Callithrix jacchus: one gene and its partners. The protein of the gene in region 4 binds, or shares a complex with, the protein of the main gene of each other region. Links are inferred from orthologs where the notes say so. Each region holds a gene or a part of one and is shown on either strand. Other genes may lie near its edges. The genes, in order: CACNB1, CACNB3, STAC2, CACNA1S, CACNB2, STAC3 and CACNG1.

The links.
Region 1: CACNA1S (region 4) and CACNB1 share a complex: the UniProt entries of both Homo sapiens proteins name them as parts of the calcium channel complex. The link is inferred for Callithrix jacchus from reciprocal best matches to the Homo sapiens genes CACNA1S and CACNB1.
Region 2: CACNA1S (region 4) and CACNB3 share a complex: the UniProt entries of both Homo sapiens proteins name them as parts of the calcium channel complex. The link is inferred for Callithrix jacchus from reciprocal best matches to the Homo sapiens genes CACNA1S and CACNB3.
Region 3: the proteins of CACNA1S (region 4) and STAC2 are in contact, whole or in part, in a crystal structure (PDB 6B27), measured with the Homo sapiens proteins. The link is inferred for Callithrix jacchus from reciprocal best matches to the Homo sapiens genes CACNA1S and STAC2. Residues at the interface, in NP_000060.2 of Homo sapiens: Glu749, Pro750, Glu751, Ile752, Pro753, Ser755, Pro756, Arg757, Pro758; in NP_945344.1 of Homo sapiens: Tyr301, Lys302, Phe303, Gln306, Glu307, Asp310, Asn326, Asp328, Trp329, Phe340, Pro342, Asn344, Phe345.
Region 5: CACNA1S (region 4) and CACNB2 share a complex: the UniProt entries of both Homo sapiens proteins name them as parts of the calcium channel complex. The link is inferred for Callithrix jacchus from reciprocal best matches to the Homo sapiens genes CACNA1S and CACNB2.
Region 6: CACNA1S (region 4) and STAC3 share a complex: the UniProt entries of both Homo sapiens proteins name them as parts of the calcium channel complex. The link is inferred for Callithrix jacchus from reciprocal best matches to the Homo sapiens genes CACNA1S and STAC3.
Region 7: CACNA1S (region 4) and CACNG1 share a complex: the UniProt entries of both Homo sapiens proteins name them as parts of the calcium channel complex. The link is inferred for Callithrix jacchus from reciprocal best matches to the Homo sapiens genes CACNA1S and CACNG1.

The regions. Positions count from the first base shown.
Region 1 is NC_133506.1:119,668,767-119,672,266, forward strand, and holds part of CACNB1 (voltage-dependent L-type calcium channel subunit beta-1), read right to left. Parts: intron 3,164-3,500; coding exon 3,068-3,163; intron 2,618-3,067; coding exon 2,432-2,617; coding exon of another isoform or gene 2,327-2,431; exon of another isoform or gene 2,219-2,326; intron 738-2,218; coding exon 273-737; 3' UTR 1-272. UniProt on the Homo sapiens protein: Regulatory subunit of L-type calcium channels. Regulates the activity of L-type calcium channels that contain CACNA1A as pore-forming subunit.
Region 2 is NC_133510.1:70,749,473-70,753,495, reverse strand, and holds the start of CACNB3 (voltage-dependent L-type calcium channel subunit beta-3), read left to right. Parts: upstream 1-1,223; 5' UTR 1,224-1,408; coding exon of another isoform or gene 1,409-1,412; coding exon 1,413-1,453; intron 1,454-2,314; coding exon 2,315-2,432; intron 2,433-2,556; exon of another isoform or gene 2,557-2,700; intron 2,701-3,000; exon of another isoform or gene 3,001-3,131; intron 3,132-4,023. UniProt on the Homo sapiens protein: Regulatory subunit of the voltage-gated calcium channel that gives rise to L-type calcium currents. Increases CACNA1B peak calcium current and shifts the voltage dependencies of channel activation and inactivation.
Region 3 is NC_133506.1:119,710,515-119,714,729, forward strand, and holds the start of STAC2 (SH3 and cysteine-rich domain-containing protein 2), read right to left. Parts: upstream 2,801-4,215; 5' UTR 2,516-2,800; coding exon 2,426-2,515; intron 1-2,425. UniProt on the Homo sapiens protein: Plays a redundant role in promoting the expression of calcium channel CACNA1S at the cell membrane, and thereby contributes to increased channel activity. Slows down the inactivation rate of the calcium channel CACNA1C.
Region 4 is NC_133520.1:28,132,421-28,136,658, forward strand, and holds the start of CACNA1S (voltage-dependent L-type calcium channel subunit alpha-1S), read right to left. Parts: upstream 2,801-4,238; 5' UTR 2,715-2,800; coding exon 2,563-2,714; intron 668-2,562; coding exon 562-667; intron 1-561. UniProt on the Homo sapiens protein: Pore-forming, alpha-1S subunit of the voltage-gated calcium channel that gives rise to L-type calcium currents in skeletal muscle.
Region 5 is NC_133508.1:18,969,322-18,973,486, reverse strand, and holds the start of CACNB2 (voltage-dependent L-type calcium channel subunit beta-2), read right to left. Parts: upstream 2,801-4,165; 5' UTR 2,484-2,800; coding exon 2,364-2,483; exon of another isoform or gene 2,012-2,363; coding exon of another isoform or gene 1,976-2,011; intron 1-1,975. UniProt on the Homo sapiens protein: Beta subunit of voltage-dependent calcium channels which contributes to the function of the calcium channel by increasing peak calcium current. Plays a role in shifting voltage dependencies of activation and inactivation of the channel.
Region 6 is NC_133510.1:62,453,266-62,457,401, reverse strand, and holds the start of STAC3 (SH3 and cysteine-rich domain-containing protein 3), read right to left. Parts: upstream 2,801-4,136; 5' UTR 2,608-2,800; intron 1,221-2,607; 5' UTR 1,220-1,220; coding exon 1,154-1,219; intron 914-1,153; coding exon 646-913; intron 409-645; coding exon 311-408; intron 108-310; coding exon 35-107; intron 1-34. UniProt on the Homo sapiens protein: Required for normal excitation-contraction coupling in skeletal muscle and for normal muscle contraction in response to membrane depolarization. Required for normal Ca(2+) release from the sarcplasmic reticulum, which ultimately leads to muscle contraction.
Region 7 is NC_133506.1:122,263,121-122,267,293, forward strand, and holds the start of CACNG1 (voltage-dependent calcium channel gamma-1 subunit), read right to left. Parts: upstream 2,801-4,173; 5' UTR 2,696-2,800; coding exon 2,467-2,695; intron 1-2,466. UniProt on the Homo sapiens protein: Regulatory subunit of the voltage-gated calcium channel that gives rise to L-type calcium currents in skeletal muscle. Regulates channel inactivation kinetics.

The DNA of each region.
Region 1 (3,500 bases), on a different chromosome or scaffold from region 4:
GCCCCTTAAGATGGGAGAAAGGGGACACTTCAGAAAAGTGGGTATCCCCCATCCATCTGCAACAGGCCGGTAAAAACCGACAGCTGGGGCTTGAGGGCCACCCGGGAGCTGGGATGATAGATAACACCGGAGAAACCCCAAGCTTTGAGCAAAGGCATCTGAAAGGAGGGCGACAGCGCCCCTGGAGGCGGATACATGTCAAGTGTGAGCCCCTCGCTCCCTCCCCTCCCCCGGACTCAGAGCCCTTCCTCCCGCCGCGTGGCCGCTGCTCCTCAGCGAATGTAGACGCCTCGTCCCCAGCCCTCCAGCTCATTCTTGTTGCGCCCTAACACTGGACCCCCACCCTCAGCGCAGTAGCGGGCCTTATTCCGGCCCCGGTTCCGGTTGTCGGTCAGCTCTTCCTCATAGTCTTCTTCCTCGTCCTCCCAGGATCCCTGTCGGGCTGGGGGGGTGCCGCCTCCTGCAGGGTCTCCGAGCCCTGGCCCCTCTGAGGGGTCAGTTTCCATGTCCACACATGAGTCTCCCAGCTCCGTGCAGGCAGAGTTTCGGCTGCCGGGGGTGTCGGCATCAAAAGTGTCTTGGCGGGACAGTGCCCGCAGCGTGCCCGCCCGGCCGGGTGGGTGGCTGCTGGGGTAAAGGCCTGGGGGCTGGCCCAGCTCCCCTGGGTACTCGTGCACGCTGCCGTGCTCCCCGGTGGCCCGTTCCAGCCGCTGGTCCCCGGAAGCAAGGTAGGGTCCCTGGTTAGCAGACGGACATCACACACCATGCAGATCAGGCAGAGGTGAGAAGAACACAACAAAGCAAGGCAGATTAGTGACAGCACGAAGACAGCCGGCCTGGGTGAAGGAGGGTACTGGCTCTAGGGTAGGGGCCCCAGGGACAAATGGCTCTGGAGCCCAGCCAGAGGACAGACCTCAGGCCATTGGCTCCTCTCTCCGGACAGGGGACACCTGACCTTCAACAGATGTGAGGACATAGGAATGCTCAGGGCAAGCATGGCCGACAGCCGTGAGCCATGAGTCACCACTTCCTCAGTGCGAGTCATTAATGCTATCTTGGGGTTAATCATCATTAACAGCTAAGTACAGCCACTCATTAGTGGCTGATTGGGTTAGTCATTGCCTTCAGTTTTCCAAATATATTAACAGGAGATTTCAGCTCAAACCTGCTGACCCTGGCTTCAACTCACGACCCCAATCTCAGGCTTCCAGAACCCCATGCTTCTCCCACCATTCCCTAGTCAGATGACACCGTCTCCAAGGCTGATGGGATTCCTCCCCTGGCCCCAAGAAGGACTCAAAGCAGCAAGCTGGGGAAGGCTGCTGGGTCTTCCCCTCCTACTGAAGATGAAGAGGTAGCCCAGTGTCCTCATCACCAAATGTCATGTGGCAGTGGGGCACAAGAGAGGTTCCAGTCCCTCCCCTGCCACTTCAAGCTGTGTGATCCTGAGCAAACGGTTCCCCTCTCTGTGGCCTCATTTCTTGGTTGTAGTTTGATGGGGCTTAGACCTGAGCAGCAGTTTCCAAACTGTTGCCTGGAGATCTGGGGTGGGGTGGGGAGGGCACAGAAGTGCTTCAGGGGTCCCCATGGAGGTGGAGGGGAGGCCATTCCCCTGGCTTCCTCATAGGGCAGAGCAAGGATGCATTATCTACATCCTCAGCTTCCACATAAGATTCATTGAACTAATGGGCTGTGTTGCTGAAAACGAATTTGAAAGCTTCAGTCTAGAATGATTTCATGGGTTTCTTCTGGCTCTCACCTAGAACCTTATACTTAATGGTGTGGAATCAAGAGACAGGCTGTGGCTTGCTCGGGAGGAGGGCGAGGCAGGCTGGGCTCCCATGGGAGGGCCTTTCCTGGACTCTTTAACTGGGAGAATGGTGGAAGGTTCAGCATCAAGTCATAGAAGATCCCACATTCCGGGTCCCTCTTGAGGGGCCTTGAGGAGTCAGGGTTCCAGGGAGGGAGAGTCCAGGTTTAACAGGGAGAGCCAGCCCTCCTGGCTCCAAGGGCCCCTGCTCTGTTGGGTCTAAATAGGGTGTGGAGTCCAGAAAATGAGTGTACCTATCTCCTCACACATCCTTCCTACTCCCTTGCCTTAAAAGGGCCCCCATCAGGACTCAGATCCAGCGGGCAGCAGATGCGGTCCTATGGTACCAGGCCCAGGAAGCCAGCACCAGAAGCCCCAGACCCATCAAAAACCACAGACACCAGAAGCTGCCGCTCACCACATTTTTTACAAAATAAAGCTCTTCCCTTCCTCCTCCATGTTCCCTGCACTCCAGTTCTGACCTCTGAGCGGGAGGGAAGATGGGCAGGGCACCCACTACATGGCGTGTTCCTGCTCCTGGGGCACCGCGCTGCCCCGCTGCGAGGACTCCAGCCCGCCCCAGAAGCTGAGGTTTCTCCTGAGCGAGGTGAGCACCTGTACCTGGAGGTTGGAGACAGGGGCAGGGCTGGCAGCCAGGGCTGCGGTAGCCATGGTGCGGTTCAGCAGCGGGTTGGGTGGTGTGCTGCTGGGCGGGTGTGTGGCCTTCCAATAGGCTTCCAAGTATTCTGCCAGGTGCTCGCAGGCATCCTCCAACTGGTTCTCGTCCAGGATGATGTCAAACATTTCCTGTGGAGGCGGGGTTAGGGGACGGGGCTGGGATGAGTGGGGCATGGCCAAGGGGGTTGAGGGTGTGGCCTGGGTGCAGTGGGTAGAGTCAAGGGATTGAAGGACAAGGTTAAAAAGAGGCCTCTGGATGTGGAAGAAGGGAAGGAGGGCTCTCAGATGTACAGATTAGCAGAACTGCAAGCCGTTTTGGCACTCTGTCCAACTCCCTCATTCTAGAGATAAGGCAACCAAGGCTGGGAAAGAGGGCTTGACTCTCCACGGAGAAGGGTGCTTCTGGGGCTTGAACCCAGTCCTTGACTGACAGACCTGCACTCCTTCCGGAAGACCAGTCTGCACCTACAGGCCTGACCCAGGTGTTCCTGGTCACTCTGTCTCTCGTACAGGCCAGAGAAAACCAGGACAACCCAAGTACCCTCCCTCCCTTCCCTTCCCCGGGATCTAGGCACTCACGGGGGGGCACTGTGCCAGCTTTTCCGAGGCCGCTATTTGGACGTTGAGGTGTTTGGACTGAGACTTCCCTCGAGACTTGATGAGCCTCTGAAGTACCTGGTTTGCAGAGGGACAAAAGGAAGAGGAGCTAGAGAGACTCAGGCAATGCACCCAGTCAGAGAGGCGGGTCCTGGTTGCATTAGCATGGAGAGCGAGTGTTAGGGCCCTTGAATGCTCCATAACTCTCAGCCCTGGGCACCCCTGCAGAAGTGACCTCAGCAGCCCTGTGTCTACCCTATGCAATGCTCAGGCTCTCTCCTTGTCTCATGCCCACCTTCCTTAGGGGCTATATGAAGGGAAGTGATTCTCCTTCCCAACTTCTCTAACCGTGTTTATAGGCCCGCCCACCCTCCATTTTTTAAATTTGTTTTATTTTTTAATAAGTTTTGCTTAT
Region 2 (4,023 bases), on a different chromosome or scaffold from region 4:
CTCATGGGGCACAAAGGCAGGCAGTCAAAAATCAAAGAAGTAATTTTGCTCAGGAGATAAAAAAGGAGAGAGCTCAAATGGGTGGGTGTTTGGGGGAAGTTTCCTCAAGATAAGGGCTGTGGCTCTCTTACCTCAAATCTCAGCGCTCTTATGAAGAAGACTGAGTGGTGCAGGGTGGTACAAGACCTCTACTAAGGGGAGAATCTGGCCTTACCCCAGTAACTCCAAGGAGACAGGCCCTTTCCACTTCCAACCCCAGTGTAGCCAGGATCCCACCCACCCTCTGGCTTCTTTCCCCCTCCCTTTAGGCTCACCTAAAACAGCCCCTTTCTGCCCTAGTTCCCACGGATGCCTTGGCACTGTCTGGCACAATCCTTGGCAGGGAAGTGAGGAAGGGAACCCCCATCCTGGCGGGACTAAGACGAAATCTACCCGCGCAACAGGTGTGGGGAGGCCTACTCAGCTCACGGAAAGTTCCCCCCTTCTCAAGGGTTGGGCAACACCGCGTTTGCCGCAGCGTCCCTGTACTAAGGGGGCTGGGCACCTGTTGGGGCAGAAGCTGCCGTCCTGGCATCAGCCTGGGGGCGGCAAGCCCATTCCTCCCACGACCACTGTGGGGTTTGCTTTCGGAGCCTCCGGGACGCACCGGCCCAGACCCGAACTGCTGTCGCCTTGGACCCCTCCCCCGTCTGCCGCTAGTCCCCGCGTCTCTTCTGTCTCCTAGGGTCTTCCCATTTTCCTGTCTTCCCCGTCTTCCCTCTGCCTCTCTCTCTCCCACTTCCTCGACACCTGCGCCCTCTCCAGTCTCCGCCCGGGTCGCGTCTCCCTCGCGGTCTCAGAGCCCCCTCCCTCCCCCGCTGCAGCCCTTTGTTTCCCGGCGGAATAGTTCCTGGGTTGCCGAGAGTCTCTGTCTCCGCATCTCTCCTCGCCCCGCCTCCTCCCTGCCAGGATCCGCCCCGCCCGCAGCCTCTCCTCCCCTTCCTCCCAGTCGCCAAGGCCCCGTAGGTGCTCGGGGACCCACCTTCCACCCAGCGCGGGTCCGCTCCCCTCTCCCGGCCCAGCCCGGGCTCCCTAGTGGCCGCCGCCCCCTCGCCGCCCCCGCCTGTTCCCAGGGAGGGGGTCAGGTGGGCGGGCACTATTGTTGTAGGAGCCGGCGCCAGATTCCTCAGCCGCGCTCGGGGTGGGACCGGCTGGGTTTGGGGCGGTGGGGTGGGGGGAGCGGTGATTTGAGCTCCGAGCAGCTGGTCTTCGCGGCTCGCTCCCTCCTTCGCGCTCTCTTGCTGTCCGCCGCCGCCCGCAGGGCTGCGGGGCTCGGTGGCATCTCCCGGGCGCGGCCCGCAGTCCTCGCCCCTACCTCCGGGCCGCTCCCGCCCCCGGCGCCGCTCGCTCCCCCCACCCGGACTCCCCCATGTATGACGACTCCTACGTGCCCGGGTTTGAGGACTCGGAGGCGGTGAGTGCCCAGGGTGAGGGTGGGGGCGGGGAAGTTGGGGCGACACCTCCTCTCCCTTCAACCCTTCCCCCAGTTAAGGACTTTGAAAAACGCCTCAGTGGCAGGGCAGGGTGTGTAGGGGGACGCTCTAGGTACGTGGGGAGATGGATTTTCATGCCAAGGGCTCCCAGCGACCCAGACCCAGACCCTGGGGCATCGGGTGTGTGCAGAGAGGGGGCAGTGTAGGGGAGGGGCTCGAGCAGGTGGCTCCACGGTCCAGAAAGAGGGGCGGGCGGGGGCGGAGGGGGGCAGGGCTGGAGGCCGAGGGCACCGAGGATCTGGAGAGGGAACACGCCATGTCTGGAGTTCCAAATTCTGGATTTCTGGGGTCTGAACACAAACAGCTAGGAGAGCCGCCGAGGTTGTTGGGGAGGCAGACATTCTGGACCTCCTGTGCCTCAAGTAAAGGACACATCTGGGAGCTGAGAGGACATCGGGGAGCCAGGGACCAGCCTCTTCAGACAGAGGAATCCTAAAACTTGAGGAGCTCCATTATTCCCCTCCACCCACTCCATCTCTGCACATTGCCTCATCTCCTCACCCTTTCTGTAGCCCAGTTTCTCTCCCAGGCTGAAACCTGGGCACCCAGCACATGGGTGGGCCAGGTGACTGAGCCCCATCCATTCCACAGCCCCCTGCTGAGGCTTGCTCTGAGCAGCAGGCATCCTGAGCTCCTGCCCAGCATGGAGGGCCTGGAGGTGAAGCCAGAGGAGCTGAGGGCCTGGGGATGGAGAGGAAGCGCTTTGCTCAGAGAAACAGGCAACCGATAAATATTTAATTCTCCTCTTTGCTTTTATCTCCTGACCCACTGAGACAAATCAGCTCATTAAGCAGTGATTCCCGGAGCTCAGAGAGCAGGGAGAGTGCCTGGAAAGATGGGGCAAGAATGCGGAGCAGCTTCTCAGACCCTTGGAGCTGCCAACTTTCCCTCAAATGTCCTGTAAGAAGGCCTCCTTAGGAGAGAACCACTAGATGGCTTGGAAGGGCCCCTGATAGGTGTGGAGGTTGGGGCACCCCTGGGTGGGAAAGGGGAGTATGTTCAAATCTTCTCCACTTGCTCCCAGGATAGATGACTCTTTTGGGGCCCAGTTTTCCTCGGGGCCTCTGGGACTAATTGCATTGCTGCCAGAGCAGATGATTTTTAAGGCTGTGGTGGACACCTCTTTCTGACAGTTGAAGGGACAGCTGGCATAGCCCAGGGTGCCAAGGTGAGCTTGAGAACAAACCTCTCTATGGGGCTGGAAGGCCCTAGGAGGTTCTTCCCATCCCTGATGAGAAGGCAAGAGCTATTGCAAGGAACAGTCTGACATGTGGTTGGTGCTGGAGGGCAGCCTGCTGACCCATTGCTCCCTCCCATCTCTCTCTGGCTCCTGATCACCCTCCCCCACTTCCCTTTCTCTTGCTTGGCTCCTTGCTCTCCCTGAGGCCCCCTCTGAAGCAGTAGGAGGGAGATCAGGCTCTAAATAAATCCAACGGCTCATCTCCCTCCTCTCCTTCCCCCGTGCCAGGCAAGAGAAGAGCTGCAGCCTGCCCACACACTCACTAGGCAAGGGGGGCACCACCAGGGCACCGTGCCAACTCCTGGCAGCTCCAAAGTACTGAGAATCTGGCTATTTTGGCGTAGCAGGGTATAGGAAAGGTAAGACCCTAGATCATGCTTGGCAGGGCAGCCCTGGCCTCCCCAAGTCATATCAGAGCACAAGAGATGGATGAGCCCAGAGGACTTGGAAGTAATGGAGAAGGGGTTTCATTCTGAGCACAATTCATTAAATATTTAGGGACAGATCCTTTGATCCCCATCCCAGGGTGAGAGGTCAGGTAACCCAGATGCCCCAGGTGTTAAGATTACTAAATTAGGCTAGGTACGGTGGCTCACACCTGTAATCCCAGCACTTTGGGTGGCCAAGGCGGGCAGATCACTTGAAGTCAGGAATTTGAGACCAGCCTGGCCAATATGGAGAAACCCCATATCTACTAAAAATACAAAAATTAGCCAGGCATGGTGGCGCCTGCCTGTAGTCCCAGCTACTCAGGAGGCTGGGGCAGGAGAATCATTTGAACCCAGGAGGCAAAGTTTGCAGTGAGTCAAGATTGCACCATTGCACTCCAGCCTGGGCATCACACTGAGACTCCATCTTAAAAAAAAAAAAAAAAAAAAGATTACTAAATTAAACCAGGCATAGAGGCTCATACCTGTAATCCCAGTGCTTTGGGAGGCTGATGTAGGAAGATGGCTTAAGCCCAGGAGTTTGAGACCAGCCTAGGCAACATAGCAAGATCCTGTCTCTACAGAAAAGTAGTAGGCATGGTAGTGCATGCCTGTAGTCTTAGCAACTCAGGAGACAGGGGAGCGCTTGAGCCTAGGAGTTCAAGGCTGCAGCGAGCCATGATTGTGCACTCCAGCCTGGGCAATAGAGCAAGACCAGTCTCTAAGTAAATAAATAAAATAATAAAAATAAAGGTTTCTAAATTGGGTTGAGAGCCTGGAGCACAGGCAGAAAAGGTCAGACTCCTCTTCAGGCATGGTGCTG
Region 3 (4,215 bases), on a different chromosome or scaffold from region 4:
TGTGGTAAGAAGGGATGGAGACCAAGAGAGGAGGAGGACTCCCTAGGAGGGTTGCTGAGTGGCTCAGATGCAGGGCTGATCCTGCCTGGGGGCAAGCAGGAGGCAGCCAGTGATTCCCAGGGGGCACCAACACTGATAAATAAGCCTGGAATGTTGGCGTCACTACCTGATGTGCACTGGCCCCCTCTGTTGTACCTGCCTCACACTGAGCTGGGTGGGCAGCACCCAAACACACTCTCTTCCATCTCCCCCACCTACACAGTCTGGAGACAGGAGATTCTTTGAGCCAGGGTGAAGTGTGGGATGGAAGGAGGCTAGCAGGGGTCCTGGATTCTCTCTCTGCCACCTCTGCCCTGCTGAATACCCCCAACCCAACCCACAGCCTAGTCTGTGTTAGTGCAGAGTCCTTCAAAAGAGTGAAGTGTAGGAGAGGGCCGGAGGGCCAGGGCTTCAGCTGACCTAGCACAGAGGGCTAGGCCTCACCCTGGCTCAAAGAAGCTCCTGTCTCCAGACTGTGTGGGTGGGGAGATGGAAGAGAGTGTGGTTGGGTGCTGCCCACCCAGCTCAGTGTGAGGCAGGTACAACAGAGGGGGCCAGTGCTCATCAGTGATGCTGGCTCATGTATGTAATCTCTGCCCTCCCCACCCCTTGAATCTCCAAGCTCAGACCCAGAGGTGACAACACTGGAGGGTCCCTGGGCTGGGAGGAGGGAGAGGCACAGACCTGCAGGCCCTCACCTTCCCCAACACACAGCTGAGCAGGCAGCCTGCTGGAGTGCTGAGGCAGCACCACCCCGCGCTCCTGCCCGCCTTCCAGAGCTCCCAGGGAGGGGGCTGGAGTGAACAGGCCTTTGTATGGAAAGCCGGGCAGAGCCTGGGAGGCCCCAAGCCCCTGGAGGCAAGCAGGGGGACTGTGTATGTCTACCCAGGGTGACTAGAGGGCAACCGGGGTCAGCGGCATTGGAGCTTAGGGGAGGTTCAGCTCCCAGACCGTCTGCTTGACAGAAGTTGTCACAAATATTCTAAGCAATAGAATATCCCTGGGGTACCTCTGCCAGACTCCACCCTGATCCTATGTCCTCCTCCTCCGTAGGAACAGGGTAAACACGATCCTCCTCAGGGTCACTCCCTTGATGACCTTGACCTTGAATTAACCTCAACTCCTATGGGGTGGTCAAGATGGAAGGAGGAGGAAGGGGAACAGTAGGAAGAAGCCTAGGGAGCCAGCGATTCCTCCGGAACCCAGGCCCACCATTTCTGGTCCTCACTGTCCCCCTTCGCCACTGGAAAACAGGAACAGGATGGGAACAAAATACCAGGGGAAGAGAGAGGGAGGAGGTCTTGGCCTGAAGTCTGGGAGGGGGCAGGGCGCACCCTTGGCACAGCCCTTTCCGCCCCATCCCCCGGCCCGCTCAGGTTGCTCCCGCAGAACAAAACTTCTCGCGGGCCAGTCGCCAGAACCTAGAACTTGGGAACGGAGCAGACGGATTAGAAGAGGGGGGTGCTGAGTGTGAGCGGCGGTCTCTCCACACCCCGTTCAGGGCCAGGAGTCTGGGCTCCGCCCGCCTTCGCGGGGAGTAATTTATTCATGGTGACTCCCGCAGGAGTAACAATCATCCATAATTAGGGTTAATGATGACATTCATTAATTACGATGACTTCTCTTTTCGCTTCTACCCGCTCCCCCGGCGCCCCACCGCTTGGTCCCGCTCCCGGGGTAGGGGGTGGGGCTGCCTTTCTGGTCTGGAGCCACAACCGCAGGCCCGGGTCCCCGCCCGCTACCGACGGCCCGCGCTGCCGCAGGCCCCCGCGCGGACTCCGCAGCTGCGCACCCCCGGCCGCGGCCTCGCGTCCCCGAGCCCAACCCCGCTGGGAGCGGGGAATGCAGGACTGCGGAGGGGCAGGGAGAGACACCCAGAGACGCGGAGATAAACACCCAGAGACGCGGGGAGAGACGCGGAGAGACGCACACAGAGAGACGCCAAGACACAGACACGCAGGTTGTAGAGACACATTCAGAGACACGAGCGAGGGCAGAGGGGCAGACTGAGCCCGGCACGGGGACCCGGCGGCCGTGGGAGGGTGCGCCTCGCTCGCACAGCCGGGCACGCACCCCGCCCGCGCCGCTCCACACGCGCCCTCCGGCCTCCCTGCGCCCATCCCTCCAACGAAGCCCGGTTGCCGCCTCCCCGGAGGGTAGCGATGGCGCGCGCGGCCGTGCGGTGCTGGTGTGATCTGGGGCTCCTCGTGGCCCCTCGTCGCCAATCCACTCCTCCCCCCGAGCGTGGCGCGGAGCCTCAGTGGTCACGCGGGCCCCGCGACCGCGACCCCAGGACGACCGGGCCCACAGGAGGACCCCGCCGGGAAGAGGGCGCCTGGGCCAGGGACACACGGGGCGGGGACAGGCCTCGCGCCCCCCAAGTTACCTTGGTTTCCTGGAGGGCGGAGACGGTCCCTGGGGGGCTGTGGGTGGCCGCGTCATCCGGTTCGTTCTCCTTCTCGCTCATCTCGGTCATGGTTCGGGAGGAGGGTCGGAGAAGGTGCGGAGACCCGACGGCAGGCCGGCCGCGGGCAGGCTGCGGGTGGCGGGCGTCTCCGGGACTCTGAAGCCCTTCTCCAGAGGCTGCCCCCAGTTGGCCTCCGGCACGGCAGCCCCCCACCCGCGGGCGCGGGCGGAGAAAGTTGCCGGGGTGGCGGGCGAGGGGAGGCGACCACGCCGAGCCGCGGGAGCGGGACCACCCCGGGCGAGAGGACCGAGGGTCTGCAGAGGATGCTGCTCGGAGCGCAGGGAGGAGGAAAGTGGGACCGCGGGGATGAGCCGAGGGAGGGAGCCACGGAGCTGTCCGTGTCCGGCCGGTTCCGCCGTCCTCTGCGCCCGCCCCCCATTCCCTCCCCTCCCCCGCCGGCCCCAGCCCGGCACCCGGTGGCCCCTCCGCCCAGTCCTCGCTGCCCAACTTTGATTTAGGAGGTCGCCTGGTCCCGCCCCCTGCCCTCCGCCGCTCCCCCTCGCCGCCATGCAAATCGGGCTCTCAGCTATTGGCTGCCGCTGTGGCCAGGAGGGCGAGCTAGGCTGAATCTTGGGGGGCTCGACACGATGGGGCGGGGCTTGGCGGTGAAAGAAGCGAAGGAGGGAGTTTCACACTGAAAAACCCGGGATGCGGGGGGCGTGACCAGATTGAGGGAAGCTTGGGGAGATCATAGTAGCGTCTGGATGGGTTGCAGTGAACAGAAATAGGTTGGGGCTGCAGCAAGATAGCTGAGAGTGAGATCGAAGTTAGGACTTCCTGGAGAGCGAAGATCGAAAGATGTCAGAGGTTGGTGAAGGAAGAATGGGGACCCATCTGTGCCATTAAAAAAATTGGATGCCTCTATGCCCTGAAAAGACTCTCTCCAAATATACACACACCTGGACTATGGTGTATGCGTCAAAGTCAGGCCAGACAATTCCTCCTTGTGATGGAAAGCAGGATGATTCTACCCCTTTCCGGGCTTGGTGTCTGAACTTCAGCAGAGATGGGGCCTCAGTCCTCACACCCAAAGTCCCCAAACTTCACTACAACACGCTCCCCTCCTGAAGATCCTACCACAGCTGGAGTTAGATCAGGGGATAATACCGAGAGGTGGGGGAAGAGGTCCTCACCCTCCAAGGTGCCCCTCCCTCCACCTGGTCTGACAATAACCTTCTATTTATTTTTTACTTTTTATTTAGAAACAGGGTCTCACTCTTTCACCCAGGCTGGAGTGGTGTGATCATAACTCACTGCAGTCTCAGGCTCCTGGGCTCAAGCGATCCTCCTACCTCAGCCTCTCTAATTGCTGGGACCACAGTCATACACCACCATGCCTGGCTAATTTTTAAAATTTTTTGGTAGAGATGGAGTCTTGCTATGTTACACAGGATGATCTCCAACTCGTGGGCTCAAGCGATCCTCCCACTTTGGCCTCCCAGCTTGTTGGGATTACAAGCGTGAGCCACTGTGCCCAGTCAAGATATTTCTTCTTCTCCTCCTCCTTCTCTTTTTCCTTTTTTTTTTTTTTTTTGACAGGGTCTTGCTCTATTGCCCAGGCTGTAGTGCAGTGGCCTGATCACAGCTCACTTCAGCCTGGACCTCCTGGGCTCAACTCTCCCAAACAACTGGGACCACAGGCACATGCCACTTCACCCGGCTAATTTTTAAATTTTTTGTAGAGATGGAGTTTATGTTGCCCAGGCTGG
Region 4 (4,238 bases):
TTGAAAGTTCCTTCCAGCCCTGGCATTTTACGGTTCCAGGCATGCGTTGCTGATGAAGGGGTAAAGAGTAAGTGGTATTACAAAACTCTAAAACATGTTTCGCTTTAGATTCCTGGATAAAACTCTCCCATGAAGGCAAATTCAATGGATGCAAGTTTCTTCTGAATTACATCTGGACAAGGGAAATTAGCATTCAACCTCTGTGGCTCACTAGCTGACCTTACAAAGCCTCAGTTTCTACATCTGCCAAATGGAGCCACTTTATGAGGTGGGTGTGAGGATTGAATGAGTTTGCTCTCATAAGGTGTTAGCACAGTGACTGGGACCAGTTAGTGCGTGCTCAGTGCTGGCTGGCAATATCTCAGAATCAGGAATAAGCAGATTGATCCTTGAAATCTGTTGAGCCACTCAGCCAGCCCTGCAGGAGGCTGGGGACTCGGGCCTGCTTCCTCAGGGAGGTCAACCACCAGCACCATCAACCGGAACAGAGTCCACCAAGGGGGCCTCCCCGAGCCTGGGACTGCAGGCCCGCAGGAAGCGGGATGGAAGCGCCAGTCTTACCAGGCCGAGGTTCAGAGAGTTGTTGTCATCTTCGGGCATGGGCAGGTACACGGCCAGGGCCACACAGTTGGCAAAGATGGTGAGCAAGATGATCGTCTCGAAGGGCCTGGAGCCAGGGTTAAGGAGAGCTCTTGAGTGAGGCACGGGACTTACAGGGTTAAGGGGAAGAGGGAGCTGAGGGCCTGGACTGTGACTGATACCAGGCTGGTGGACAGGCTCTTTCTTGGACACTCGTCCACACTGCTCCTTCCCTCAGCTCCTGGCAGGGTACAGCGAGGACCAGGTTCCCGCCTGGACATCTGGCTCCCTTTCCTCAGGAGCAAGTCACTTCCACGTAGATGCTTTGGAATGGCAAAGGTCTGGTACCTGGCTGAGGGCTCCTCAGCTTGAAGGCCTAGGGGGTCTTCACACCGCTCCACTCTCAGTGCCTGCCCACGCCCTTCTGCTCCCAAGGAGCTATGACTTTCTCAGATTCTGGCCAATCTGCAGGGGCTCACCCAGAGAAATGGCACGGGAGGGTAAGGGTTGATGTAGGGTAAGGTTGAGAACTCACCCAGCAGGACTGGGAACGAAGGATGGGGAGGTGAAAGCTGAATTTCCGGAGCCACGTGCCCCTGCTGGTGTGCACGTGCTCAAACCCGTCACACCTCACCCCTCCCAGACACACCTACCCTGCCACGGCCATTTCCAGAGGGCACCCCAGGGCTTTCTTAACTTTCTGACCCATCAGATGACAAGTGTGAAAAGAACTAGATGAAGCAAGGGAGGAAGCAAAGGGGTTGTCAGGGCGCGAATGGGGAGGCATATTATGTAGATGAGCTTGACAGAAACACCCCATTCTCTTCCCAGTAACCTCCAATGTTTGAGAAAAGAGGAGGGCCACAGGGGGCTATGAGAGGGCAAGGCTCAGAGGAGCAGAGGGTGGAGGAGAGGGAGAAGCCACAGGGTAAACCCGATTGCAGAAGAGAGGCAGGGAAGGAGCACCCAGGGTTTGATGCGGGCAATCCACCGACCTGGCTGAGAGCAGGTGAGGGGAGCGGGGCTGACCCTAACCCCAAACTATCTCCACTTGCCCCATGTTTCCCTTGTCCTTCCGGTTATCCCTCATTCTCTCTCCTTCTAGGAACAGCTGGTGGGCACCCAGACTTCCAGAGCTCCTCGGAAATATTTCAGATATGCCCGACCCTTGCTCTCAGATCCCACTGGAAACAGGCCTCTCCCTCTCTCGGCCACTCCTTCCTCCCTTCCCCAAATAACCCAGATATTTTCATCATTTCTCCTCCCAGAGCAGAGGAAAACACAGCATGGGATTCAAAGTCCCTGTCCCCAGGGTGGCCTGTCTGAGCTAGAACAGCCATGCTTGCTTGGCCTGCATCTGGAGCCACTCCGGGCGGGCGTCTTGCAGGCCCTTCTCCCCTTGGCTCTGTCCTCAGCTGGGACGCGCCCCCAGAGGAAGCCTTCCTTCCACTCACCTCTCTACTGTCACCTCCCTCCCAACCCAATCAAGGGAGTTATCTCAAAGAGGTCATCGTGTCTTTTTTGGGTCCCTATGCTATTCCAAAATGAGGCTGGTGCTTCAAAAACCTAGTGGCACCTCATGGTAATGTGGATTTGGGCACACCTGAGAACAGTCCCCATGAAACAGGCCCCACCCATAGGTGGTCAGTAGGTGTCTCTGGTTGTCACACAGGACTTGGGAGGCCCACTAAGGCCCAGGAAGACCCACCAAATGCTCCCACCAAGTCCTCCTCTTTCTTCTCCTCTTCCTCCTCATCCTCTTCCTCCTTTTCTTCCTCCTCCTTTTCCTCCTCCTCCTTCTCCTCTTCCTCCTCCTCTCCTGCTAAGCCGAGGACTCCTTCCCAGGCTTCCATTCTGTGGGTTCACCCCATATCTAAGTTCTGGGTCTCCCTGGCCTTGCTGTAGAAAGTTTGTGCTCTGTGACTACCCCACATCCTTCCCCCATGACACACACTCCCCCGCCGCCCAGACCCTGAAGGATACTTCCACTCCACGATGTCGATGCAGGCCTTCCTCAGGGGGTTCTGCAGGGTTAGGCAGAACAAGGCCCGGGGTGGCCTTGGCAGAATCTCAGGAGCTGGCTTCTTGGGCTGTTTCTTTCTCAGGCCTTCATCCTGGGGTGAGGACGGCTCCATGGCTCCCCGGTAACCTGGCTTTCTCCTGCTCCCCCACCCCAGTGCCTTCTCTTCCCTGCGTCCCCAATGCCCCCGCCTTGGGGACTGGGCTGGCTGAGGCTGTCGGCTGAGCCTGCCCTGCTGAGCCAGCGGGGGGTGGGGGGCGGGGGCAGGAATGGGGGTAGAAGGATTACTCTCCTTGCTCCCAGCATGTAAAATTAGCTTCCACTCGGCTCCCTGGCTCCCTGCTGCTGGGCCTGAGCTCCGGAGGCCAGGCAGCTGTCATTCCATCCAGCCCAGTCAGTGACTTCCCAATCTGTCCCCTGAGGAGGGCGGGGGTGGGGGGTGGGGAGAAGAATCTACACACAGGCCTGGGAGGGGGGCGGGGCAGTGGGAGAGGGAGACAGGATGGAAGGTTTCAAGCCTGGGGCCACAGAGGTAAGGAAGGGGTAGACTTCACTATGGAACCTCCAACTGCAGAGTGACCCCCTCATGCCAAAATTAGGTTTCTCCCTCCTCAGCCCCATGACATTGTCTGGAGAAGGCGCTGGGCAGCCTAAGTCAGGACAGCTCCACAGCACAGCCTCCGCCCCCCACACACCCATCTCAGTATCTGCACCGTCAGCCAAGACTCCCCAAGCAATCCCATGTCAGGGAACCAGTAAACGCCTCCCCAGTGGGCTGGAAGGCTCCCAGGACAGCCCGGAGTGTGCACACCTCTGACATAGCACCTGCCTCACTGTGGAGCATCTGCTGTGTGTCTTTCTTCCCCACTTCCTCCCACCCCTACAGGTGTAAAGCTTGTGTACTTCAACTCTGGGACTCTGGCCCCTCCTCTGGAGAGTCCCCACATATACTGCCCTCCCTGTGTTCACTGAGGCCAGGCATGGTGCCTCACCCTTGTAATCTCAACACTTTGGGAGGCCAAGTTGGGCAGATAGCTTGAGCTCAGAAGTTCGAGACCACCCAGGGCAACGTGATGAAACTCTGTCTCTACAAAAATTACAGAAATTAGCAGGGTGCAGTGGTGTGTGTTTGTAGTCCCAGCTACTAGGGAGGCCAAGGTGGGATGATCAGTTGAGCTGAGGAGGTTGAGGCTCCAGTGAGCCAAGATTGGGCCACTGCACTCCGGCGTGGGTGACAGAGTGAGACAAAAAGTTTATTGAGGCCAGGTGAGGTGGCTCATGTCTGTAATTCCAGCACTTTGGGAAGCAAAGGTGGGCAGACCACTTGAGGTCAGGAGTATGAGACCAGCATGGCCACCATGGTGAAACCTGGACTCTCTAAAAATACAAAATTTAGTGGGCATGGTGGTGTGTGCCTATAATCCCAGCTACCCTGGAGGGTGAGGCCGGAGAATCGCTTGAACCCAGGAGGTGAAGGTTGCAGTGAGGAAGGATCACACCACTGCACTCCAGCCTGGGAGACAGCAAAACCTGAGGCAAAAAAAAAAAAAAAGTTCATTGAATCTTTGAGCTAACAGCGTACCCCACATACCCTCCCAGCAAGTACTCTGGACTGGTTTCGGGAGTGAGAAAGGGGCAC
Region 5 (4,165 bases), on a different chromosome or scaffold from region 4:
GAACTTCTCTTTTCTATTTTCTTTTCTTCTTTTTCTTGTTTTGAGATGGAATATTGCTCTGGCTGGAGTTCAGCGGTACCATCTCAGCTCACTGCAACCTCTGCCTCCCAGGTTCAAACGATTCTCCTGCCTCAGTCTCCTGAGTAGCTGGGATTACAGGTGTGCACCACCATGCCTGGCTAATTTCTGTGTTTTTAATAGAGACAGGTTTTCACCATGTTGGTCAGGCTGGTCTCGATCTCCTAACCTCATGATCTGCCTGCCTCAGCCTCCCAAAGTTCTGGGATTACAGTCAGAACTTCTCTTACAGCCCCTAAACATTTATGCTAATTGATGTTACTGGAATATAAGTTCTCTGAAGGCAGACATTGTGTCTCTTCCCATCAGAATCATTTCCACATTGCTGCTGTACAATAATTTGTTGACTTACATTAAATCATTATACATAAATCATAAAGTAATTTAGATTATCTTAGCTGAATGCAGTTATGTGAGCCCTGACTTTGATCTCCAGGAATTTAGGAACTCTATTTTTATCACAAGAATAAAATCTTTTCTAAAATATCCCTCAAGGAAGATCAAAGGCAAATGAGGGTCTAAATGTCCTTTCCTTTGTTGGAGGACTCAAATACTGATCGCATTCAAGACCTTCATCCTAGAATAACGGAGGTCTCTGGGTACATTTTTTTCATTCTATCTAACCTGGCAAGCGTCTAGATAAAAATCAGGAGTCCAGAACAAATGCAAACTCTGTTGGTTAAAATTCAGATCCTCTGGCAGAGGCCAGATGGGAATGTAGCTGGTTCATTACATGTCCCCACTTGGCTTGCGAAGCCAACAGCCCAGGGCAGACTAAAATCTAGCTGTTTCACCACGACAAAATTAATCGATTTCTGATTACACAAGTCCTTGGTTTCCACATTCTTCTCCATCTCAAATCAAAGTGGATTATGTGTTTTAAGTTAGCACAATTATTTCCCAATGGTAAAAGAAAGTTCAGTAAAGCTAGACTATTAATGCCACTTGGAACGGCCATGATTACAATATCAAAATAGCTACAGCAGTCAATTTCCACCTATCAAAACAACAGCAAGAAAACATTTGCCCCCTTATCAGGTTGTCACGCTCCTGTCCCCATTTGCTACAGTATATGATACTCAAACATGCCCTCTTCGGTGTGTATGTGTATATGTAAGTGTATCTATGTATTAACATGTAACTGCACACACACACACATACATATCTTATCACAAGTTAAAATCGGGCAAATGTAGCCTTGAAATCAACCAGCCAATACCGCTAAACAAAGAGACATTTCTCCAAAATGCTGCCTGAAATATAACCAAGACCCCTTCCCACCACTGGCCAGCCAGCCAACAGTCAGCCGGCAGTTAGGAGTCTGAAGCCATTTCCCTGATAGGAGAAAAGTTGAGCGACTCCTCACCGCTGGGACATGGAGGTGTCTGTAATACAAACTGTACCTGCCCAAGCCTTAGGTAAAAGCCACCTTGTCACTGCCCAGCGCCTACAACTGACATCTCCAATTTCACAACAACCTGCAGCAGCGAAGCTGACTTTTTCCAGAAACCGCGAATACTCGTTGGAGAGAAAGGGGATCCTGGAGCTCCCTGAAATGGCTAACATTTCAGGGGAGACGGAAAAATAAAAACTTTCCCGTCCCCATATTGCTCTCTTATTAAGGGAAAGGCACGAGGTGGGCCAAGCAAACCTTGGCAAGTGCCCGAGGGGACTGGAGAAGCTGTCACGGTAGCGGCGTAAAGCCCCAGGTGCTTAGCGTGGTCCGGCAGCTCGAGGGGGGGATCCGGTAGGGCGCCCCCACATTCGCTCCCATGTCGCCCACCTCCAGCCCGTCACCCCCACACCCACGCCCACCCCGGCTCGGAGCGTGGCCAGGAGGGTCAGCATCGTAGAAAGCGCTGCGGGAAGCGGACCCCTCCCGCCCACCCGGACTCACGATCTTCAGCAGGTCCAGTCCACTCGCCTGGTTCATGTCTCTCCATGTGCCTCTCCCGGGAAGGGGCGAGGAGGGCCGGCGGGGGCAGCCCGGGAGAAGTCTGCGAGGACCAGCAGGTCTCCCCCGCCCTTCCCCACTGGCTTTTCCGAAGCAGAGAAAAATGGAAGCCGAGGTAGAGCCAGGAAAAGGCGCAAAGGGGCAGGGTCCCCGGCGTCAGGAGAAGAGCAGAGGGTGGGCAAGCGGCGAGGGGAGGAGGTGGCGGACGAGACCCAGGCAGCGGGGAGGTGCGAGGCTAGAGATCCCCGGAGCAGAGTCGCCGGGAGAGCCGGAGGTCGGCGCCCTGCCCGGCGGCTCACAAAGGAAGGAGAAGGCGCCGCGCTCTCGCTACCTGTGCGGCGGCTCCGAGCGCCCCCGCGGGAGCCGCGTTCTCCAGCAGTTCCATCTGGATCTCCTGCGCCACCGCCGCCGCCGCTGTGGGAGGCGACTTGGACATGTCGCTTTGGACCATTGGCGAAAAGTCGGCTCCGAGCGAAGCAGCCAGCCCCTGGCGGCGGGTCCCCTCCTCCTCGCCCCCGCCTCTCCGCGCTCCGTTCGGCTCTGGGGGCCGCCCAGGGCTCAGGCCTGACGCTCACGCTCTCAGCGCAGCGCCCCGGGACTCCGTGCCGCGCTGCCAGGCGCTCAGTGCGCGGGACGAGGACTGGGCATCGGGCGAAGCGAGCCGCGCGGGAGCCAGGACGCGGGGTCGCGGGCGCGCGGCTGCGGTACCGGGAAGAGGGACGCCCTCCGCGGGGCAACCGGGACCGGGCGGAGCGGGCGCAGAGCGGCGGGGATCGAGCCGCGGGCGCCAGGGAAGGTCCTCGCCAGGAGGGAGGGAGCTCCGGGAGCGCGAGCCAGTGGGAGGCGCGTCGGAAAGCGAGAGTGACGAGCGGCAGACAAGCCGAAAAGTTCCTCACGAGAGGCGCGCGCCGCGTGGGCTCCGGCTCAGCTGCTGCGCGTCGCCGTGGCACAGGCGCTGAAAAGTTTGCGAAGCCACAAGCAGCCAGGCCCGGCGCCTGGGGGAGCGGGGGGTCGGGGGGGCTCGTTCCTTTTCCCAGGGCCGCACACCTACCTCTCAGGAACCCTAAGAGAAGATTTCTTAACTTCGGAGTGGAGGGATGGCGAAGGCTGGGTTCCTACACTGAAAGTTTTAAATCTGGAAAAGCTGCTGGCAGCCCCAGAGAACAAATGTCTGCAAAGAACATCTCCTGCGCAGCTGAAAAGCATTGCTGATGTTAGTAATAAGGATCCAGAAAAAGAAACGGAGTTAATTCAGTGAAGATCATCAGGTGATTCCACCTGAATCTGCAGCTGGCCTCTCTAACGAGGTCGGAATCCACCCAACCTGAGGCCGAATGTTTTCCTTTTGACTTCTGTTTTCATCTTTGCCAAATTAAGTTAGCATTTCTTCCCGAACAGAATTGAAGTTCGTCATTGTTGTTGTTTTAGACAGAAAGTCTCGCTCTGTCGCCCAGGTTGGAGTGCAATGGCGCTATCTCCGCTCACTGCAACCTCTGCCTCCAGGGTTCAAGCCATTCTCGTGCCTCAGCCTCCCGAATAGCTGGGATTACAAGTTCCCTTCACCACGCCTGGCTAATTTTTGTATTTTTAATAGAGTCGAGGTTTCACCATGCTTCCTGGGCTGGTTTTGAACTCCTGACCTCAAGTAATCCACTGGTCTCAGCCTCCAAAATTTCTGGGATTACAGGCATGCGTCACCGCAGCCGGGCAGGATTGAAGTTTTTTATAGGGATGAGAGATCTTAGCGTCACATTTTTGATAAAACAAGCACTTCCTTAAGATCCGGAACTCTTGATAACAGGGTATTGACTACAGTGAGGGTGTTTCACTTACAACATTCTGTTCGTATAGTCCCAAGGAGGCACATTTTTATGTGATTGAGTGCATCTCATTTCAACAAACTTTACTACCGTGGAAATTTCTATAATGAGTTTTCCAGGCATCTATTGATGTTATTTTGTAACAACAAAATGGAAGTTTGGCATACTGAAATAAACACTCAAAAATTTACTATACATACAAAAAATATACATACAAAAATTTACTTCAACTGCCTTCTATATTTTGCTATGATAAATTATGTGAGATACAGTACTTGTTCTTCTCAAAGAGAAACATAGACATTTTAAATCT
Region 6 (4,136 bases), on a different chromosome or scaffold from region 4:
GCCCATTCCCTCATGTTCCATAAAGGGCACTTACAGAGATCTTTGACACAAGCATACTGCTGATTGCTGTAGAGTGGGGAACTATAGGCCCGACGGAAACCAGGTGGCTGTAGGGTGGAATAGGAGGAATCATTAGAGGTAGCAAGGTAGGCTAGAAGCCCATCTCTCTCATAAGTGGTCATCCTTTCTCAGAAAAAGAGATGGGCTAAGAAAGAAAAAGAGAAATGAATGGGATGGAGGAGGGACCAGCAAGGGGTAGCTGGTGATACGGCCCCACCTTTCTACACCTTGTTCCCCGGAGCCTACTCACGATCTTGCCAAAGCATCTCTGCATTTCCACATAGGACTGACAGTGTTCATGGATGTTGGTTTTGCAGTTCTTACAGCGAAGCCCAAACTTGTTATTGACTTGGGAGAGGGGGAGAAAATTCAGATAAGGTTCCAGGTTGCCCTTTCCCTTTGTACCACTGCTGCTACACTTAGGTTCCCTTTTCTGTCTAGGACCCTACTCTCACAATCTCTAATAGCACTGCCTTACAGCAACTCTAGCCGCAGCCCGTCTGCTACAAATACTCCTCTCCTATACCCTCTCCCCCAACCCCTGCCTTCAACATCATACTCTCTTCACTTCCCTTCATGACTCACGAACAATCATCCGGGCACAGACATCACAGAACTTTGGCTTCTTGAAGAAGTGATCTTTGAATTTGTGGGGCTTATCGTTGACAAGCTTAGGAGGTTCTGGGGGTGGCTCCTCCTCCTCCTCTTCTTCCTCCTCCTCTTCCTCATAGATGTAGTAGATGGGCCCACCCCCAGCTCCCACTGCCTCCCCATTGGCCTGGGGCTCTGGGGGAAGTTCCATGTCTTTTGTCCCTGTAGACCCCTTCCTGAGTAATTGCTTCAGCCGCTGTAGCTGAGGGAGGGAGTGAAGGAAACCCAGTGTTAAAAGGACTTGTCACCCTCTCTAGAGTACAGGGGCACTAGAGCAAACTAGACAGTTTTCTAGTTAGGGGTAAGGAATGTACCCTAGGATTAGGGGGGCTGCAGGTGGCCAGCAAAAAATGAGTCATACACAAATGTGATCAATTTAAGCACTCTTCAGCTATAATGGCTTCCCGCTCCCCACACCCAGTGGTCAGAGGCCCAGACTCACCCCACTTTGCCGAGTCTCTGCGGGGAAGGAGGGTTTAGGGGACTCCAGCACCTCCTTTTCTGTCATCCTGCAAGAGGTTGGACCCCACTATGAAATCTAATCCCTTTCATTCTTCTCTCTCTTATTTCTGTCCCTTGCAGTAGGGTGGTCCTCAAAGGGGAGGCTTTTGGAGAAATGTGGTTTCATATATATATATATATATATATTTTTTTTTTTTTTTTTTTTGCAATGAGGTCTCACTCTGTCACCCAGGTTGGAGTGCAGTGGTGTGATCACGGCTCACTGCAGTCTTGATCTCCCAGGCTGAAGCGATCCCCCTACCTCAGCTTCCTGAGTAGCTGGGACTACAAAGTGTATACTACCTGGCTACTTTTTTATTTTTTGTAGAAGCAGGGCCTTGCTTTGTTGCCTAGGCTGGTCCTGAACTAGCTCAAGCAGTTCTTCCATTTCAGCCTCCCAAAGGGTTGAGATTCCAGGCATGAGGCACTGCTCCAGGCCAAATACAAATCCTTTGGCAGTGTTTATTAACAGATAGATTTCATGGAGGTCTAGAAAAAAGCCCAACATGGCTGGGCGTGGTGGCTCACACCTGTAATCCCAGCACTTTGGGAGGCTGAGATGGGTGGATCACTAGGGGTCAGGAGTTTGAGACCAGCCTGGCCAACATGGTGAAACCCCATCTCTACTAAATATTAAAAAATGAGCCGAGTATGGTGGCAGACACCTGTAATCCCAGCTACTTGAGAGGTTGAGGAAGGAGAATTGCTTGAACCTGGGAGGCGAAGGTTGCAGTGAGCCAGGATTGCGCCACTGCACTCCAGCGTGGTTCTAGAGCAAGACTCTGTCTCAAAAAAAAAAAAAAAAAAAAAGAAAAACAAAAAAGCCCAACAAACGGAAGTCCCCAGTTAGTTCCTCAAACTGATACTTATCCTTCCATCCTGAGGGGTGACCCCAGAGTTTACAGCCCTTACACAGTGTTCACTGCTGAATGATTTACGTTATTTTCTTATAGGTACTTTGTTTCTCCTGGGAACCTGTGGGCAACAGGTATGTGATGCATACCTTCCCAGATCTCCTCTCTTCAAGAGGTTTAATGGGTGTCCTTGTGTGTGCACAAGGAAGGATGGACTGGAGATTTGTCCTCCCCTACTTCTTTCTTGAGCCCTGGGGGCACTGTGCCTAGTGCTGTCCCAGCCTGCTTCAGGGCTCAGCTATTTTAAGTTTTCAGGGTAATATGAGCCTTTCCTTCCCTTACTACTCCATTCCCTTCACCCCACCCCCACCCTTACCCCACCCTCCAATCCTAACTCATCCTAGAGTAGAATAATAATTTGACTCCTAAAACCCAGATGATTCACAACAAGGAGAGAAATGAAGAAGTTAAATAGATTACTGGCCAGGGCAGCTGGGGTGAGCAGCTGTGGAAATGGAAAGAGGATGAAGAGGTAACTTACGTTTGGGATTCCCTAAATCAGTCAGTCCACAGAATGTAGAGGAAGTTGGGAACCCCGAGGCCTTGATGGTGGTGCTGGGGAAAAACCAGTCCTCTTCCTTGGGGGCTAAGCCCCCCCAGTACCCTCTGTGTTCACACCAGCTACCCAGACGCTATTTGTAGACCTCCTAGCCTCTTGCGTTGGTGTCAGGGCTGAAATGACAGGGCTGGAGGAAAGTAGACAGCTGAGCAACACAGCTGACACAGAGAAATTGGACACTGAGAGGTCTGGGGCAGGGTTGGACCCTAACTCCTCCCATCCCCCAGAGCTGCTGTTCCTTGATTCTTTATCTTTGGCCAACAGGTTAATAACAGCTGAAATCAAGAAGGGACAGTTTCTGTTCATGCTCACTTAAGGGGAGTTTATTTTTATATTTCATTTATTTTTTGAGACAGGGTTAAAAAAAAAAAAAGACTAATGTGAACTCTCAGAGCTCTCCTATCAGCCACACTAGATTGCTTTTTTTTTTTTTTTTAAAGATGGAGTCTCACTCTTGTCGCCCAGGGGAGTGCAGTGAAGTGATCTGGCAGGTTCACTACAAACTTCACCTCCTGGGTTCAAGTGATTCTCCTGCCTCAGCCTTCCAAGTACCTGAGATTACAGGTGCCCACCACCATGCCTGGCTAATTCTTGTATTTTTAGTAGAGACAGGGTTTTACCATGTTGGCCAGGCTGGTCTTGAACCCCTGACCTCAGGTGATCCACCCGCCTCAGCATCCCAAAGTGCTGGGATTACAGGTGTGAGCCACCAAGCCCAGCTAGATTGCTTTTTTCTAAAAAAAATATATTTTATTGCATTTCAGGTTTTGGGGTACATGTGAAAAACATGCAAGATTGTTGCATAGGTACATACATGGCAATATGCTTTGCTGCCTTCCTCCCCAACACATATATCTGATGTTTCTCCCCATGTTATCCCTTCCCAACTCTCCACTGTCCCTCCCCTAGTTCCCCCCGACAGACCCCAGTGTCTGATGCTCCCCTCCCTGTGTCCATGTGTTCTCATTGTTCAACACCCACCTATGAGTGAGAACGTGCAGTGTTTGATTTTCTGTTCTTGTGTCAGTTTGCTGAGAAAGATGGTTTCCAGGTTCACCCATGTCCCTACAAAGGACACAAACTCATCGTTTATGGCTGCATAGTATTCCATGGTGTATATGTGCCACATTTTCCCTGTCCAGTCTACCATCGATGGGCATTTGGGTTGGTTCCAAGTCTTTGCTATTGTAAACAGTGCTGCCATGAACATTCGTGTGCATGTGTCCTTATAGTAGAATGATTTATAATCCTTTGGATATATACCCAGTAATGGGATTGCTGGGTCAAATGGAATTTCTATTTCCAGGTCCTTGAGGAATCACTACACTGTCTTCCAAAATGGTAGAACTAATTTACACTCCCACCAACAGTGTGAAAGTGTCCCTATTTCTCCACATCCTCTCCAGCATCTGTTGTCTCCAGATTTTTTAATGATCGCCATTCTAACTGGC
Region 7 (4,173 bases), on a different chromosome or scaffold from region 4:
GTTGTTAATTGAGAAGCCACATATGAACTCACTTCCTCCCTCTAGAGAAGAGTGGTCCCAGGGAACACAAGAAGGGCAGATAGGGAAAGAGAAAGATGTCCATTTGCACAGAAAAGAGAGGGAAAAAGGCAGGAACATACTTTGGAAGATTACTGGGGGAAAGGTAGTGCTCCGTGTCACAAGCGTGGGAGGTATGGTTCATGGCTGGTTAGGCTAAGAAGTCAAAGAGGTAGATCCTGGTCAGGCTCAAGCTCAAGCAATGCCTGTTGGCTCCAGTGACTAGCATTGGTTCCAGTGACTAGCATTGGTTCCAGTGACTGCGATTGGTCCAGTCACCTCTCACCAGCATGCTGCCCCCCTGTGATTGGTCCAGTCATCTCTCACCAGCCTGTTGGCCCCCTATGATTGGTCCACTCACCTCTAACTAGCCTGTTGGTCCCTTGTGATTGGTCCAATCGCCTCTTGCCAGCCTGTTGCCCCCTGTGATTGGTCCACTAACGTCTCCCCAGCCTGTCACCCCCTGTGATTGGTCCAGTCACCTCTCACCAGCCTGTCTCTTCCTTGTGTGGACTCTGTTCACTGCCCAGCCCTCTTCTCTGACTTTAAAAGTCAGATGGTTCCAGAGATGGGTGAACAGGACTGTAACAGCACGTCCCCATGTGTGGTCCCTGTAGAAGCTACCTCGCCCTGCCCTGCCCTGCCCCACCCAGGGGAGTAGGCTGGAGGCTGTGCCTGTTTATGGGTGTGCTTCGCAGTGGTCAAGGGACATGGGCATCCCAGCTATGCAATACCCTGCCAGCACATGCTCACACCTGTCACCCTCAAGCACTGGGACTTGGTGTTTCTACAACAGCTGGGTACTTACGAGTCTTCTGGGCACCCAGTTGGGGTAAGCAAGGGAGGGGATCTCTGGAGCAAGCAGGAGGGAAGGAAGAGGGAGCAGAGACATGGGAGGATGGGGTCTGGGCTCTCTGACCCACAAACAGACTGCAAGATCTTTGGGGACTCAGCCTTAGTGTCCTTGAAGGACAGGTTTCAAGGAACATCCAGTCTGATAAAAGACGGAATAATCCTGAAAGCCAGGTGGGACATCACACTGACATCACCCTGCTCCACTGCCACCATGGATGGGTGTCCCTCAGCCTGGGAAGGGATCTTATGTTGTTGAGAGTCAGTCCCATATTTTATAGAGGAAGAAGCTGAGGCTGAGTTGAGCTTTGTCCTCCCTGGAGAGTCATTTGGAGCGTGGTAGGCAATGGTGATGATTCCTGGCCGCCTGGTCTCCATGTAGCCCTCTTTCCTCTAAAGAAGTGCTGTATTTGCTAAGAATCCAGAGGCCTCTGCATTTGCAGAATAGAGGTTAGCCACACAAATACCAGGTACTCCTGAAAAAGAGCTTACCTTCGACATGTGGTTTGGTCACATGGTAGGAAATTGAGGAATATGCTTAAATGACAGGATGAGGAAAATGCTTTGACATGGTCTTTTAAAATGCTGATAGGGTCTGAGCTAAGAGAGGAGGCACAGAGGACTGAAGTCCTGACAAAAGTGGGGGTGGAGGCTGGGCACGGCGGCTCATGCCTAATCCCAGCACTGTGGGAGGCCGAGGTGGGCGGATTGCTTGCAGTCAGGAGTTCAAGACCAGCCTGGCCAACATGGCAAAACCCCGTCTCTACTAAAAATACAAAAGTTAGATGGGTATGGTGGCGCATGCCTGCAATCCCAGCTACTGGGGAAGCTGAGGCAGGAGACTAGCTTGATCCCAGGAGGCAGAAGTTGCAGTGAGCCGAGATTGCACCATCGTACTCCAGCACAGGGAACAGAGTGCAACTCTGTCTCAAGAAAAGGTAGGGGGCAGGCGGCTCACCCACAGCCATGTCCTGCTTCATAGACATTCAACCTGTGCAGCTGCCCTAGGCCCAGGGCCCTCAAGGGTCCATGCTTGGTTTCATGCCTCGCTGTCACTGCCTTGAAATCCTCGGTAATTTGGAGCAGGGAACCCTGCACTTTCATTCAGCACAGGACCCTGCAAATTCACCTGTCCAGTCTACTCTCCTGCCTTAAGTCCAGGAACGAACCTGCCAGCCTGATAGGTTCCACGAGTCTGAGCACACAGAGCCACTCAGCCTGTCTTGGCAGGGAGGGAGTGATCAGGTGGGGCCCAGAAGCCCCCGGGCTGGTAGAGCCACAGTCCCTTTCTTGAGCCTGCTCAGATGTCTGCTCTGGACAAAAAGCCCCAAGGTCCAGCCAGACAGAAATAGCTGGGACAAACGCCCTCGTCTTACAACCCAGCTCCGGCCACCAGCACAGCACATGCGAGTCGGATCTTCTTCCCTGGGCAGAAAGGGCTGGGCGGCTGCCCTGTTCTAGGCAGAGAAACCTGCCTTGCTTCGTGTGGGTAACTTTGTTGGGGAAAGATGGGAAAGGGCAGGAAGTGGGGATTGGGAGGGATGCTGGGTACATTACCCCCGGGCAGGGTGATGGGCCCGCACATCTTGCTGTCGTCCATGGGGATGCGCTTGGTACAGATCCGCCAGAGGCCGAAGTGGGCCGCCTCGCAGGTGGTGTTGTGGTGCTCCAGGTGGGGGCTCAGCACAGCCCAGTGGTCGGTTACCACGGCTGTTGTGGCCAGCACGATGCCCGCCAGGATGCAGAAGAGGGTCACACGGACCTTCAGCGTTTTGGTCTGGGACATGGTGGTCGCCGAGGCGTGGGTGCCCTGGGCAGGGTCCGGCGGCTGTGTCTCCTAGGGCAGGTGACAGCCGAGCTGGGGGGTGGCAGTGGCTGTCAAGCTGGGAGTGGCCACTAAGTTTAGTGTGGCCTGGCTGAGCCAGAGTGGGCTGGGCTTGGGGCTGAGGGACGCTGGACATGCTGAGCAGCTGTCCAGACGAATCAGGGGCCTGAGGGAGGCTGCTATTAATGACCGTCTCCAGGCGTGGCACCGAGGACAGCTTCTGCTCAGGTTTCAGGGGTTTCTTCCTTTGGGAGCCAGAAGTACCCTGGTAGGGGGGCAAGGAGAGAAGGCTCTGGGTGGTGGATTGAGGCCTCTGTGGAGTAGCAGCTCAAGGTGTCTGAGTTGGGAGGGGGTGGGCAGCAGGGGCTGGGGGTGGGGACCTGCCTGCTCTGGGCTGCTGGGAAAGGGCATCCCAGGGCAGGGGAGGAGACCAGAGCTGCAGGCTGCCTGGCTCTCCCGGGCTCCCACAGGGCAAGTCTGTCACCAGCAGGGCAGTGAGTAGGTCCTCATCCTGGGATCTGGGGAGACTAGGACTGTTTAGGGACATCCCAGGGAACCCGTCCAGGGCCTCTGGAGTCCACCTCTTGGGGAGTGTTTTAGCCACAAAATCCATGGCCTCCCCCAAACCGTGGGAAGATTATTGGTGTTTCCCAGGCCTGGCCTTTCCCGACTCTGACCCCTTCATGAGAACATCACTTCCTTCTCAATTCTCTTTCCATACCCGGAACTGGGTCCAGAGCAAAGCTGCATTTGGGGTCAGTGTCTGTACTGCCCACAGAGTGTCCTCCGAAACCAAGAGAGAATGGCCTGAAGAGGACAAGGAATCTCGTTGGACTTGGTCGTTCTGTTTTCAGGGTACTGTGTTTGGTTTTGCCTCTATTAACAGCAGGTGATAATGATTTTTATTTAATTTGAACACACTTATTTAATTTGCAAAATAAGGGTGTGAGTAAAAAAGAACAAATAGGTTGATTTACGGGGGATAATTAGGAGGCTCGTGAGTGCTTAGATATGGCAGAGAACACAGAAAGCCTGGAACTGAGCGCCCTCCCAGGGTCCTGTGTGCCTGGCTGCCCTGCAGGGATCCCCAAGGCTCTGGCCCCTACATCCCTCCAGGTTGTGCCAGGTTGTGCCATCTCTTCTTTCTCAGCTTACCGGGTAGCCCTTTTTGGGTCTAGCCGAGAGGCTGATGCATGACCAGGAATAGCTTCCTAAGCTGGGTGGGGCCTTGAGCTTCAAAATCCTGGCCTCAGATTGACACGGTTTACAGAGACTCTCCCCATGTGGACAGAAACGTTCCAGCCTCCAGCCTTGGAATCACAGAAAGTTCACGATGATGATAATAGTAGCAACGGCTCGTCTTCAGCGAGGGCTTCCTGTCGACTAGGCGCTCTGCTAAGCCTTCCTCCAGCATCACAGTTATTCTCCACACCAATCCA